Linked DNA regions of Cricetulus griseus. The protein of the gene in region 2 interacts with the protein of the main gene of each other region in a pairwise test. Links are inferred from orthologs where the notes say so. Each region holds a gene or a part of one and is shown on either strand. Other genes may lie near its edges.

The links. The genes of interacting proteins can lie anywhere in the genome.
Region 1: the proteins of Ipcef1 (region 2) and Cyth2 interact in binary tests that used the Homo sapiens proteins (3 or more experiments, as listed by UniProt). The link is inferred for Cricetulus griseus from reciprocal best matches to the Homo sapiens genes IPCEF1 and CYTH2.
Region 3: the proteins of Ipcef1 (region 2) and Cyth1 interact in binary tests that used the Homo sapiens proteins (3 or more experiments, as listed by UniProt). The link is inferred for Cricetulus griseus from reciprocal best matches to the Homo sapiens genes IPCEF1 and CYTH1.

What each region holds. Positions count from the first base shown.
Region 1 is NC_048599.1:154,707,908-154,712,660, reverse strand, and holds the start of Cyth2 (cytohesin-2), read left to right. Parts: upstream 1-1,731; 5' UTR 1,732-1,922; coding exon 1,923-1,941; intron 1,942-2,160; exon of another isoform or gene 2,161-3,011; coding exon 3,012-3,159; intron 3,160-3,255; coding exon 3,256-3,322; intron 3,323-3,799; coding exon 3,800-3,918; intron 3,919-4,442; coding exon 4,443-4,523; intron 4,524-4,753. UniProt on the Homo sapiens protein: Acts as a guanine-nucleotide exchange factor (GEF). Promotes guanine-nucleotide exchange on ARF1, ARF3 and ARF6. Activates ARF factors through replacement of GDP with GTP.
Region 2 is NC_048595.1:284,097,792-284,102,366, reverse strand, and holds the start of Ipcef1 (interactor protein for cytohesin exchange factors 1), read left to right. Parts: upstream 1-1,603; coding exon 1,604-1,762; intron 1,763-4,575. UniProt on the Homo sapiens protein: Enhances the promotion of guanine-nucleotide exchange by PSCD2 on ARF6 in a concentration-dependent manner.
Region 3 is NC_048600.1:130,772,855-130,777,459, reverse strand, and holds the start of Cyth1 (cytohesin-1), read left to right. Parts: upstream 1-1,583; 5' UTR 1,584-1,740; coding exon 1,741-1,768; intron 1,769-4,605. UniProt on the Homo sapiens protein: Promotes guanine-nucleotide exchange on ARF1, ARF5 and ARF6. Promotes the activation of ARF factors through replacement of GDP with GTP.

The DNA of each region.
Region 1 (4,753 bases), on a different chromosome or scaffold from region 2:
GTGGAATTCTCAGGGGAGCCCTATCATTGTAGTAAAGGCTCAGGAGCTCCAGCAGGGTGCCTGTGTTTCTGGAATGTTGGTCCTTGTTCTTGGTCTTCACCCATAGTACAGCCACCTAAGTGCCCAGCAGGCTGGTGGCCAGCAGGAGGGGAGCTGCCAGGAGGAGGGAGTGCCCTCTCCCTTGTTCCCAACAGAGAGCCAGCATTGGCACTGGCTTGCCTGAGTGAATCCACCCACCCATGCCCTCTCTGGCTCTCATCTTGCTTTATCCTTCAGAATCCCCAGGTAATAACCGGACAGGATTAATTAGCTGGCAGCTCTCCCACCCCTGGGTCTAGGGCAGGGAAGGACTAGGGATGATGGAGACCATAGTGGAGAAAATTGCTAAGCTGATGTAAAGAGGCAGGGGCATGTGGTTCTATTGGGAAGTAGAGGGTGGGATAGGATTGGCACAACCAGGTCTCCAGCAAGGGAGGGCATGGGTCAGGCCACTCATAAAGGTCAGAGAGGGGATTAGGAGGCTCCATGACTAATCCAAAGACTTAACCAAGTCCTGGCTCTGAATCCTCCCGACCTGTGCAGCCCAGGGACACAAATGAGGACAAGACCTGGAAGTCACATCAGCCCCATTATGGGCCTATGATTTACAAATATGCCAGAGTCCCCATCACAGACAGGACCCTCACTGCTTTTCCTGCAAAACAGAAAGGATTCTGGGAGGGGGAGGCGATTAAGAAGGGCAGGACTTTGAGGACTGAAAAGCTGGGTGGAAGGAGGACCTAACCACAGAGACCTGGAGTGCTGCCAAGAGAGTCAGTGCACATTCTGGAGGCAGAGGCAGACAGATCTCTGTGAGTTCGAGACCAGCCTGGTCTACAAGAGCGAGTGCCTGTGACAGGCTCCAAAGCCAAGAGAAGCCCTGTCTCGAAAAACCAAAAAAAAAAAAAAAAAAAAAAAAAAAAAAAAAAAAAAAAAGATTCTGAGGGAAGAGGATGTCTTGGGCAAATATCTGGGGAAGGCGGGATTTTAGGAGGAGGAAGCTAAGACGAGCGTTTAGGAGAGAGGAAGAGCCTGAAAGAGAGAAAGCACCAGGAGGGTAGATCCAGGGTATTTGTGGTCCCCAATACATTTGGAAGGGATAATGCCTTTATTTTACCATCCTTTGACTGAGGAGACTGAGGTGTGGAGGAAAGTCACGTGAGGTGGTACGGAAAGAGTTCAGAGACAGCCACTGCCTGAGACAGAAGTACCCTGAGGAAGAAGGCAAAGACAGGACTGTGCGGCTCCCAGTTGCTTGGCAACCGCCGCGGTCAAAAGCTAGCGTGGAGGGCCAGGAGGTGTGGTCCCAGGAAACACCTCAAGGTTGAGACTCCGCCCTTGACAACAAGACTAATCAAATACCACCCCCTAACAACGAATTTCTGAAAAGGTTAGGCCGTCTTAGTCTGGCTCGTGCGCAGGCGCAATCCTCCCTGCTCCACGAATCCCCACCTCCTGCTCCCTCCTTTTTGAGTTTTCTTATTGGAGGATAAAGCTGCCAGGGATTTTCCTTTGTTTCGGGGGCGGGACCAAGCCCCTGGACGCACTTCGATTGGTCACTCTAACAGTCTATCGCTAGCTGTACGTGCCTGCAACCGCTTCTTGTGTGTCTATTGGTCCTGGAAATGATCCTGTGGTTTCGGGGGCGGAGCAGTCTGGGAGACCCGCAGCCGATTGGGTGGTGTCAAAGCGAGGGGCGGGCCCCAGCGGCCGGGCGGTTGGGCCGTGAAGGGAGAGTCTTTTCGGCGCTGAGGACTGGCGCTGAGGAGGCGGCGGTGGCTCCTGGGGCGTTTGAGCGGGCTCACTCGAGCCCGCGGGCCGACGCGGACTCAGGCCCAGCCGGCGGAACCGCCCCGGACTCCCCGCGGGCTTTTCTAGCCGCCATGGAGGACGGTGTCTACGGTAGGCCAGGCGAGGCGGGAGGGCGGAGTGGCTCCCAAGCCCCGCCAAGGACAGCCGAGCGGTGGTAGCGAGGCGCTCTTGTGCGCGCGGAACGGGCTTCCGGCGCGACCGAGAGCCGGGGGTCCCGGCCATTGTTTGGGCCGAGCCCTCTTCCGGCGGCGGCGGGCGGGGCGGGGCGGGGGGGCGGGGCGGAGCGACAAGAGCGGGGCGGGGCGGGGCGGGACGTACACCCGCGCGAGCCGCTGCCTTTCTTGCTGCGAACCTTGGTTCTGTGACCTCCCTACCGATCCTGACCCCGGTCGTGATGCCATGGCTTGTCTTCACTGAGCACCCAAGATTCAGACCACAGATCCAGGAGCCAGAACCTCGGTTCCTTTCCAAGAAAGGCACCCAGGATTCAGGACCCCAACTCTCCCACTATTGTGGAGCCAGGGATCAGGCCTCCTTACAAGAAATGTATCCAAGCTCCATGCCAGGGTCCCCACCGTGGTGGACCCAGGAACCAGAGTATTGGTGTTTTTCCAAGAAATGCACCCAAGGTCCAGGATCCCAGGTCATCAGCCATGATGGAGGGACCTGTTACCTTCCAAGAAATACACCCAGGATCTGGGGCCCCAGATCCCTTGCGATGATGGAGCCATGAGCCCAAGGCCCTGTGTCCTTCCAAGTAATGTTTTCAATATCCAAGCCTCCCGTTCTACTGTGATGGAACCAAGGAACCAGGGCATCCAAGTAAAACATCTAAAGTAACATCCCAAGAGTTCCTCATTGTGGTGATGGGTCCAGGAGCCCAGGGACTGGTTCCTTTCCAAGTAATACACCCAAGATTTAGGTCCACACTTTCATGATGAAGGCAGGGCTCCATCTTTCCAAGTAATGGGCCCAGAAGTTCATCCCCAGACCTATTAAGAGATGAGATTCCCAGGCACTTCTGCCCCAGACTAAGGGTTCAGAGTCTTACTCCCTCTTCCCTAAGAGTTGTAGTAGCCATTTCTCTTCTGGACAGGAATCCAGGCTCTTAGCCTTAATCTTGGCCCCCCCAGAACTCATTTCCTGACCCTGACTCCTAGAGCCCCCAGACTTGACTCCGGAGGAGCGCATGGAGCTAGAGAACATCCGACGGCGTAAGCAGGAGCTGCTGGTGGAGATCCAGCGCCTGCGAGAGGAGCTGAGTGAAGCTATGAGTGAGGTGGAGGGTCTGGAGGCCAATGAGGGCAGGTGAGGACTGTGGCGAGCTCGTGGGACACAGGGCTTGGCCAGGGCCCTGGATGCTCAAGTGTTGACCTTTGGCTGCTGCCCATCCTGCTTTTGCAGTAAGACCTTGCAGCGGAACCGGAAGATGGCAATGGGCAGGAAGAAGTTCAACATGGACCCCAAGAAGGTTAGTTAGCTGAGCAGATATATTCAGGCATGGTTTTGATATCCTAGGTTCTAGAAGTGTTAAGATAATAGGTTTCCTCTAGGCAAGACTCCTGATCCCTGTCCATCTGTTCCATGAATGTTCATGTACTGAGGCCTCTGGGAGCCCGGTCCTGTGCTGGGCAATGCTGGGAATGCTAAGACCCTGCCTTACTCTGAGGGATCCCCCTAGGTGTAAGTGCTACAGTTCAAGGTGAGATATGGCAGTAAGGGAGGGGTGCTGTGTTTACAGCTTGATGGGTAGGTATCTGCTTCTTTTTTTATACAGTGTATCATGTATTCAATTATTCTTCAAACCTGTTCCAGCTATACATGCCGGAATCAGTTAGGCAGAGGTTGAGAGGATGGGCTAGGGATGACCATGCTCTGTTAGGGTGGAGAGGCTTGGATGGGGAGCAGCAGCCTCTGCCTTGGCATAAATCTGGCATCCTCCATCCAGGGGATCCAATTCTTGGTAGAACACGAACTTCTGCAGAACACACCTGAGGAAATTGCCCGCTTCCTGTACAAGGGTGAGGGGCTGAACAAGACAGCCATTGGGGATTACCTCGGGGAAAGGTGAGCTGCCCAGCCTGTACAGTAGTACTCCCAGCCTCAATAGGAGTTCATGGGTAGAGCAGGTTTGTGGCCTCCACCTGGGTCATGATATAGTGGACTGACTGGCTCTGAGGGAGCTTGAAACTAGAGGGAGATGGACCTGTAGTCATCCAGTAAACAAGGACACTGTTGAAGTCTGAGTGTCACTGGCTTAACCACGCATATACAAGCTAGCATATGGAAAGTATTGTCTGGAAGTTTTTATCATGGGTCAGAGCTGCAAGTGTTTGGAGACCTGTGGACATGTGATTGCATAGCAACTGGGAACTAGCTATGAATTCTTAGACAAAGGTCAGTTCTGAGATAAAGGCATCTGGGAAGCGTGAGAGCAGTTGCAAGATGACATCAGGTGGTCTGTGTACTCAAAGATCTGACAAGCTACAAGAACAAGGTTCATCTGCAGGAGGGTGGCATAGTAAATGAGATGATACTGCTATGGCTCCTGTCACTCCTCCTGATGGGACTCTCTCTCTTCCCTCCTCCAGGGAAGAGCTAAACCTATCTGTGCTCCATGCTTTTGTGGATTTGCATGAGTTCACCGACCTTAATCTGGTGCAGGCCCTGCGGTGAGAATGGGACAGAAATGTACCTGCCAGGACTTTCTCAGTTGTGAGGAACATACCATTCCAACAGAGATGCAACAGTCAGGAAATGACTGTCTCTAATAAACAAGTTCAGATGGGGCCTCCTTCAGGCTTTCTCTTGGTGTATTCAGTGGATCTTCCTACATGACAGCAAAAAAGCACCTGGCAACCCCAGTCCAGTTTAGCCAACTCGGGGTAGAAAAAAGACTTTT
Region 2 (4,575 bases):
ACATGACTTGATGATAATGTGTTGTGGAAAATGTATATTTTATATAAATTGTCATGTCTGATTTGAATATTTGAATATTTATCATCTATAAAGCATGTGAGAAATATTCAGAGATAAAGATAGAAAAAGATATGTAAATTTGGCTGAGAATAAGAAATTCCCAATCAGGAGGCTTTAGAGTCCCTGAGGTCATACAAGAAGGATAAGGAATTTCTTTCCCAAGGGTATTTAATGCCTGTGGTTTAGGTGGTTAATGCCCTGCATATTAGGAAGACCACAAAGTTAGTCTGTTGTGAACATTTAACAGCTTGAGATGGAAACAATTATTCTCGGGGTTTATTTAAATACTCAATATTGTTTAGAAATCAAGAGAGAAAAGAGATGTTGTTTCTTCTCTTACAAAAATGTGTAGGTAAAGTATTTCATGATTTTCTAAAACTTCATCAAGCACTGTGCCCTCAATAACCCAAGTAGTAGCGAGAGTTGCTTGTGGGAGGAAACAGGAAGCCCTACAGATAAATGCCCTGTTACCTTTTTCCAGGTTCAGCTCGATGTATATCGATTCTAATTAGCACATTTTGTGCCTCAGCTCGTAGCTCCCCTTGAGCTCTGCTTGGAGAGTCTTTCTTTCTTTCTTTTTTTTTAGAATCCACCCTGCTCATAAACACTGCCGCCCCCTCCCTCCTTCTCCTTTACAAATGTTACAACACAATCAGAAATTGCCTCTTTTCTTTCCTTCCTGCATTTCCAGCAGGTTCCCTTGCGTCAGAAGCCGAGGAAGAAAACTCAAGGTAATTAGATCCCTTTTGTTCCTTTATCCCTTTCTTGTGCCTGTGAGTGTGATTTCTTTTCTTCCTTTCTCCTTGATGCCTTCTTGAAGAGGGGATCGGATTCTTGTCTGTCTGAATTTAATATCAGGAGATGGATGTCAGATTAATTTTGGGGGATTGCTTTTGGACTGATTTTAAGAAAGAATGACATGCTGTTCACTTGGACTAGTCCCTCTGCTTTGTCCACAGAGCATGGAGAAGCTGCCGCTGAGTTAGGAAGTCCCTGGGGTCCTAGGTGGGCTTTAACCCTTCGGTGTCTGTTGCATAACTGCCGCTGTTCCTGTGGGCAGGATCCGTGTGTCTGCTTCAATGTGTCTGCTAGTCCCGAGAGTTGAACGTGTTCAACTTACTCTTTGACTAAGGTTTTCAGATCTATGCTTGCATATAAGTCTCACTGCCTCTTTGCCTGGGTTTTCTAGGCACCGAATGAATGTTTAAAAATAGAACAGATACATAGAATTCCTTTCTTTCTTTCTTTCTTTCTTTCTTTCTTTCTTTCTTTCTTTCTTTCTTTCTTTCTTTCTTTCTCCCTTCCTCCCTCCCCCTCTCTCTCCCTTCCTCTCTCTCTCCCTTCCTCTCTCTCTCTCTCTCTCTCTCTCTCTCTCTCTCTCTCTCTCCCCTTTCTTCCTTTTTCTTTTCCTTTTAACAGTTACTTTGCATGACTGAAAACATCCAACCTTTGCTGTGCAAACAACTAAAAGTTGCCTTTTATTTTGCCACCCGAGTTGGGTCACACTTAACCTGTTCGTATAACCATTGCAGGTTTTTTCAGCATGAGTCGGAGGAGGATATCATGTAAAGATCTGGGCCACGCTGACTGCCAGGGTTGGCTGTACAAGAAAAAGGAAAAGGGAACTTTCCTAAGCAACAAATGGAAAAAGTTCTGGGTGGTGCTGAAGGGGTCATCGCTGTACTGGTACAGCAATCAAATGGTGAGTGGTCCCTCCTCCTCCTGCCCCAGCCTTTACCCAAGAGTGGCTTCTAGAGCTCAGAGCAGGCAATCTCTGTGGGGAAGTTGATCCTGATCTCTGGGAGTTGGAGCAGAGCAAATCAGCAGATTTGATAGAGGACTCATTTCTGCTCCAGGAACTATGTAGGTTAGTGAGCTGTGCTGCTCCGAGGAGAGACCATCTGGCTTTACTATTCTGATTAGAGAGGAAGGAAAAGGGGCTCCAATTACATCCTTGCTTAAGGAGGGAGCTGCTGGGGTTCTACTGATGTTATTGTTCCGTGAGATCCTCATAGTACCACGATCTGTCAGGATATCATTTGCTGTGCGAATTTTACCTTGCTAAGATCCTATTAAAAAGGGACTCAGCATTACTCTCTTCTAAGGGAACAAATCTATCAGTTCAGAGACACAATATCCATCTCTTCTCCCACCGTCTTCTTTCCTCCTGATCTTTGCAGGTATGGGCTGGTTTGGGATTGCTAATCCCTATGCCAGTCTTGCGTAGAGACTGGTGACATTGTTCCACGTTGACATTAGATATGCATTGTGAGGACAATTCTCACTCACGGAGATAGTTGCTGAGTTTGTCCTTTGATAGCCATGTGGTACTGTGGTCAGCTTCATGGATTGACTATTGAAAAAGAGCTGGAAATAAAGTTCTTGCATTGTCTTTGTGGCTGGAGATATTTTGAGAGGGACATTGGTGTTGTTGAAAGTACTCTGTAGAGCTTTGTAGGTAGATGTTCTGTCACTGACTCCACTGCAGGTTTAGGGTCCCTTTTCGAGGGAAGGAAATCTGATAGAGAAGGTTTGTTTAATTACTTAAGGGAATAGTGCTAAATTAAGCCAACCTGGGACTAGGTAGTCTTTCAAACAAACACAGCTTCCTTCTTAAGGGGAATTAAGGTTGATATAAGTACTTAGTGTTTTCTGTTATTTTATTTTAAATTACTGAATTATACTTATTCATTCAGTGTGTGTGTGAGTGTGTGTGTGTGTGTGTGTGTGTGTGTGTGTGTGTGTGTGTGTGTGTACAGGTATCACCAGTTATGGGTGGAAGTCCGAGGACAACTTACAAGAGGGATTTGTCTCTTTTTTTTCCCCATCGTGTGGGTCCCTGGGTTCTAACTCAAGTTGTCACCTATGGCAACAAGTGCTTTCACCTCCTGAGTCATCTCTCCAGACTCTGTTTCCTAGTATTTAGGCTATGGCATTTTAGTAGTTATCACAAGAAATTGCCACCTACATCTTTCTTATGATGAGCTGATCTGAGTTACCCTATAAACAGCCTTGAGGACTTTCTTGAGCCTCTGGGATAGACTGTGTTGTTGGAACATGATGTATCTACAGGATGTAACAGGCTCAGGATTAAGTGGTCAGTTCATCTCATCATTGTCCCTGTCTTGGTAGAATGTGAAAGAAGTCCTTCCTGGAGTCACACAATTGCCACCACTTGGCTCATTTGGCTTCTCCAGCTACTTTTAGGCATAGGAGCTTCCTAATTTTTGGCATCGGGAATCTCACTCTTCTGCATGGAGCAGCCACGTTGGCTTGGACTAAAAAGAGGAAAAGATGGAGTCTTAGATGCCTGTAAGCTCCCCATCCCTGTGTCCTTTTATCAGATGCGGAAAGTAAGCTTAAGGATGCGGATCATGTATTTCAGCACCATTACATTAACAGCATCAGTTTGAGAATAAACTTAGTTGGCCAGGGAAGTAGAGGGTTATTAATGGTGTACCAAAGGAAGGATCTTTCATAGAGGACTTCTCATGTTCTTTTGCTTTCTCTTTCCCAGCCTCATTCCTGACATCTTAATTGTATATTTGTTGTGGGTAGACCTCAATGAAGATGTAATTAGCAGTCATATTCCTGCTATCTGTGTTAATACCAACTGCAAAGTAACAGTCAAACACGCCCTCACAGAAAAATATGCACTTACTGTCTCCACTAGAAGGATTTAGATTTAATTAGCTAAGGCACGTAAGAGTTGACTAATTTCTTCTCCTTCTCCATTCCTTATTCTTCTTGGAGGGCCATCCCTGTTCTCTGTGATTTTGGGTATAGCATGGGCTAGACTTAGCCCATGGAACATCTGCCATATGCCAAGGAATGTTCTAGGTACTCTGCACACAGGCTCTTTCCTATTCTTCAAGAAAAACCTCTAGCTGGTTATGTTGGCATAGGCTTATAGTCTTAGCCACTCAAGAGGCTGAGGCAGGGTGATTGCAGGTTCAAAGCCAACCTGGGCTATAGAATAAGTTCAACCACAGTCCTGTTAATTTAGCGAATCACTGTCTCAAAATGAAAAAAGGAATATAAAAAGTCTGAGGATATAGCTGGCTGGTAGCATGCTTGCCTAGCATGCATGATGTTCAGGGTTCAATCTATGGAAGGAGACAGAGACAGAGACAGAGACAGAGACAGAGACAGAGAGCCTGAGACCTCTGAGGCATGCTTTAAAAGTTGGTAAACTGCTGAAGTCATACATGAAGGAAGTGAACAAAAAGTTCTTCATGTCCAGGCCCCTTTGAGTCCTAAGTTCATACTGATTATGACATGCCACCTTGAATCTCCCTGGGGACCAGATAAATGATGTCATCGTGATACCCTGTTTCTGGAAGGAGACTGAGAGACCATCTCTAGAAGTGACAATTTCTGCTGTGAATGTACAAGCTATCCTATTAGACTGTGGCTCATCCCTGTTGCTGTCAATATTGCCTAAGGACTTTGCCATCCTCTCCTATTTGCTTGTCTGTTGTTGGTACCCAGCAATCAGTGAATGGCTCACCTCCT
Region 3 (4,605 bases), on a different chromosome or scaffold from region 2:
ATTTCAAACACACTGTAAAGCAGAGCGGCCCAAACAGCAGGATATTGTCACACAGATGGTGAAGCAGAAGTGGGGACCCAGAAGTCGAATATCTGCAGCCAACTGATGTTCAACAGAGGCACAGACACCAGTGCCAGCAAAACTGGTTATCCACGCACAGAAGAATGAACCCTGACCCTGCCCACCATCGTAAAATCCAACTCCAGATGGTCGTTACAGACAATGAGACTGTGGATAAGTTCCCCAAACAAAGGCAAAAGCAGACCAGTGAGATTTTATCAAACTAAAAGCTTTTGAGAAAAAAATATTTGTAAACTGTGTAGAATAGGAACCAAGTAGGAGAAACAGTCTAATTAAAAAAAGAAGCCAAGCGTCCGGGCATGGCGGTGCATGCCTGCTCCTTAGCACTTGGGAGGCAGAGCAGGCAGGTCAAAGTTGAGGTCACTGTCAGCTAGGTAGGGAGTTTGAGGCCCCAACTTATTGGGGCCAAATGAGGCTGTCTGAAACAGACAGATGGAAAAATAACAGGAAAACAAAGCAGGAGATAGAAATATGCCCCTCCCCCTTTGTTAAGTTTCTTAAGATAGGGTTTCAATGTGTAACTGCCCTGGCTGTCCTGGCACTCGCTCTGTAGACCAGGCTGGCCTTGAACTCACAGAGATCTGCCTACCTCTGCCTCCCGAGTGCTGGGATTAAACCAGCACCACCAATGCCCGGCTTACTTTGGTTTTTGAGACAGGGTTTCTCTGTGTAGCCCTAACTGTCCTGGAACTTGCTCTGTAGAAGGCTGGCCTCTAACTCAGGTATCTGCCTGCTTCTGCCTCCTTAATGCTAGGACTAAAGGTGTGCGCCACCACACCCAGCTTCCTGATATAGCATTACTATGATTTGCATTTATTTATTGTGCTGGGGTGGGGGACTATGCATGCATCGTGAGAATGTGGAGGTCAGAAGACTACTTGTGGGAGTTGGTTGTCCCCTCCCACCTTTATATGCATTTTGGGGTCCACCTTGATCTTCAGGCTGTGTGATGTGTCAAGTTCTTTACCCATCGGGCCATCTTGCCAGCCCCACATTCATAATATGAGTGGGAAGTCCTCAATACAAGAGATGACATTTAAGGACAAAGAGATGCCAAACATTGTGTGTATGGAATGATCCGTCTGAATCCCGTAAACGTGCAATTGCAGAAATCAGAGTGGGGTTGGAATGACCTTACACTTTGAGGAGTGTGGCCCTTGATTTTCCCAACCCTGGGCCATGCCCCTGCTTTTAGCTGGGACATGATAGCATGCTGTGGTGATTGCCATCTTTTGTGGCTGTCTTATGGATGTCAGTGAGCTACTTTCTCACTGGGAGATGACGGGTTTGGGGTGATTCCTGGTGAAGCAGAGAGTAGCAGCTGCTGTGTCCTTGCTTGGGTGAGTGAGGGTGGGGTGGGCCCTCTGCTGAGCTGGTGTGATGACTCAGTGCTGTTTAACATGCTGAAGGAGCTTGAGCTTTACTTCAGAACTGGGTGGTGACAGAGACTGCAGTGACGTCTGCAGAGGGTGCAGGCTAATTGGTCCCCTGTGCCACTAGCTGTTCCTCTGGTAGTCCAAAAGCAGCCCTGAGCTGTTCTAGTGGCTCCCTGTAGGAGTTCCTAGCCTCACCCAACCCACAGTCCAGGAAACTGCTCAGAATACTTTGCTGAGTGAGTTAGCAGCAGAGCCCACCTGTCCTGCCCTGAGAAGCCCAACAATGGTTCTTAAAGGAGAAGGGGAGGACGGTGAGTCTCAGCCCAGACTAGACCCAGGGAGGATGGTGAGTCCCAGCCCAGACTAGACCCAGGGAGGATGGTGGGTCCCAGCCCAGACTAGACCCAGGGAGGATGGTGAGTCCCAGCCCAGACTAGACCCAGGGAGGATGGTGAGTCCCAGCCCAGACAGCCCCAGAGGGTCCCAGGTAGGTAGGTGGTTGTCTGAGGGTCTCTTTGGACTCATCTATGAGCCCCTGTAAGGAAGGCTTTACGGGACCTTTGTAGCTGGGTTTGGTCAGAGTTTGGTTTTTACCCTGTTCCTTTCAGAAGATCTGCAGTGTGCTGAGTAAGACTAAGGGGTGTGTGTGTGTGTGTGTGTGTGTGTGTGTGTGTGTGTGTGTGTGTGTGTGTGTGTCTCAGTCAGGGGAGAGAGGCAGACAGAGTGAATAAATACGAGATTCTAAATGATGTGGCAAGAGTCATCCCGGCTTCTACCGCCTTTGCTTTGTGCAAGACAGTAATGTTCTGGGAGGCACTTAGTCTCCTGCTTGCTGGCCATTTACTGGCTCCTAGGAGCAGTTGGGCCACAGATGTGGGAACTGTGTGCCACAGTGAAGCTGGGCTGAGAAGTAAAGACATCACTGGGTTATGCCATTAAAATCGGCATCAATGGTTCTTGCTTTTCCTAAAGGAAGGAGAGGCTTCCTCTTTCTCTGTGGGGTGAAGACGGTTTGAAGTCTCATGGTGCTTCCCTCACTGTCCCCCAATCCAGCTGTAAACAGCGGAGCTGTGAGTCAGGAGCTGAGACTCTGGGCAGTCTCCCTGCTGTACCCTCCTTGGCTCAACTACAGTGCTTCAGCCCTGAGGCAAAAGAGGGCAAGTGTGACCAGCCGCAGCTAGTGTGGGTATTACAGTAAACCAGACTTGGAGATGAGGCCGCTTCAAGAACGATTCCAGGGAAACTGACTGTGTCTTTCACTTCCCTCTCCTGGCGTACTGAACACACACTTGAAGTCTCACCTCTAAAGAGAGCTCTCCCCCGGCAGTTTCCATGAGGCTGCCTGTGTGGAAAACTCTATTGTGGGTACAACTTCTGAGTGAGAGGGACATGCTATCTTTATTGCAGTACCTTTGCTTCCAAAGAGGGGCGTGGTAATTGGGGCCGAGGCCAGGCCAGGGTATGCTGCCCACTGGGAGCGGTTTTTTTGTTGTTGTTGTTGTTGTTGTTTTTTTTTTTTTTTTTTTTTGGTATTTTTTGGAGTGATGAATACACATTAGCCCTGGTATCCAGCTCCAAGGGAAAGAGTTCTGAGAGAAGAGGAGGGCACAGAATAAAATGGTAGAATAATCAGAGTGAGACTGCCTAAGGAGGTCAGCAGTGATCCATGTCACATCTTCAAGGCTTCTGGCTGTCAGTAGCTGCCCCCAGCTCCACACTGGGCTAGCAAGTGTGGAATAGTGACTTTAGCCAGAGGACTCATATGTGTTTGGGTTCCCCATTGCCCTGTAGGCTTTAAAGTGTCTTCAGATGCCCTGAGTGTGGGTACAGGCCTAAATCCAGGCTGGGGTGATGGGCCTGGGGCAGGCCTAGGGCAGAGCTTGAGGGATTGGATCAGCTCTAATTATAGTGAACAACCCTGAAAAGCCAGTGCCCCGTCTCCCACCCCTCCTGAAGTCTCCTATTTGGTACAAAAGGGAAGAGTGTTGCCCTTTTAACCACTGCTAAAGTAGATTCCCGAGCTGTAGCCACAGAAACAGGACGGCATTTAGGTGGGTGTAAAAGGGAAGAGAACACGTGGGGTTTCCTGTGGCAAGTCCCTAAGGTCCCCAAGGAGGAGAGAGGGCGCTTCTCAAGGAGCTATCTCCCCCAGACTTGCTGTCCTGAGTGCCTGCCTGCTCAGTGGTGAGGGCTCTGGCCAGACGCTCCGAAGGCAGGCCCTTCCGCTGTGCACACCAGCTGTGCAGCCTTCACATCCTTCTTTTAAAAAGATTACATGGATTTATTTATTTTTTACTTACTTATGTGCATGAACGTTTTGCCTGCATGTGTGTAGCACATGTGTACCTGATGTCCTAGAGTCAGAAGAGGGCATAGGATCCCCTGGAACTGGAGATATAAAAGACTGAGCCACTGTGGGTGCTGGGGGTCAGACCTGGGTCCTCTGGAAGAGCAGCCAGTGCTCTGACTGCTGGATCCCCTCTCCTTTCTTCTCTGCATGGAAATAACCGGCTCTTCTCCAGCATCGTGTGTTATTTGCCTAATGAAGAGTCACCAATATCATCAACTGGGCCTGTTTCCTTAACTGCTGCAGGGTTGCGTCTGGTAGATTAGCTATTTGAGCTCATCTGCTTATGTGTAGTCCCCCTTGGTTTTCCACTGAACCCTCTCTTTAGGATGGAATTGAGACTCCTCAATGTGTATCCCTGGCCTTCCACAGCAGGCGCTAAGGCTCCTCCTGGGCTCTCTGGCCCTGACTCGTAGTGTGCCCACCATCCTTGAGCTTTCGTATATCACTCGGGATTCGCCATCCCCACAGCGTCTCTGTTTTGGAATGGCTGATCATTAAGTCCTGGGTCCAGCTGGCCCTTCCGCAGCATCTCGGCATGTCCCTGGCATGCACAGACACCGCGCCAGGTTGCTGCTGCCACAGCCTTGCCCGCCTCTCCCCACTGGCAAGGCTGGGTCTGGAGCTATTTAAGTCCCAGTTCCAAGCACAGGCTGCGCCTATGGCAGATGCTCAGCAAATGCTAAACGAATCTGTAGGTTTCAGTAGGAGAATCAATTGCTAAGGACCAGTTGAGGATCAGGAGTGTGAAGCAGGCTGTCGGTGTAGGATCTGTGCCTCATTGAGGAACTGGCAGGAGCA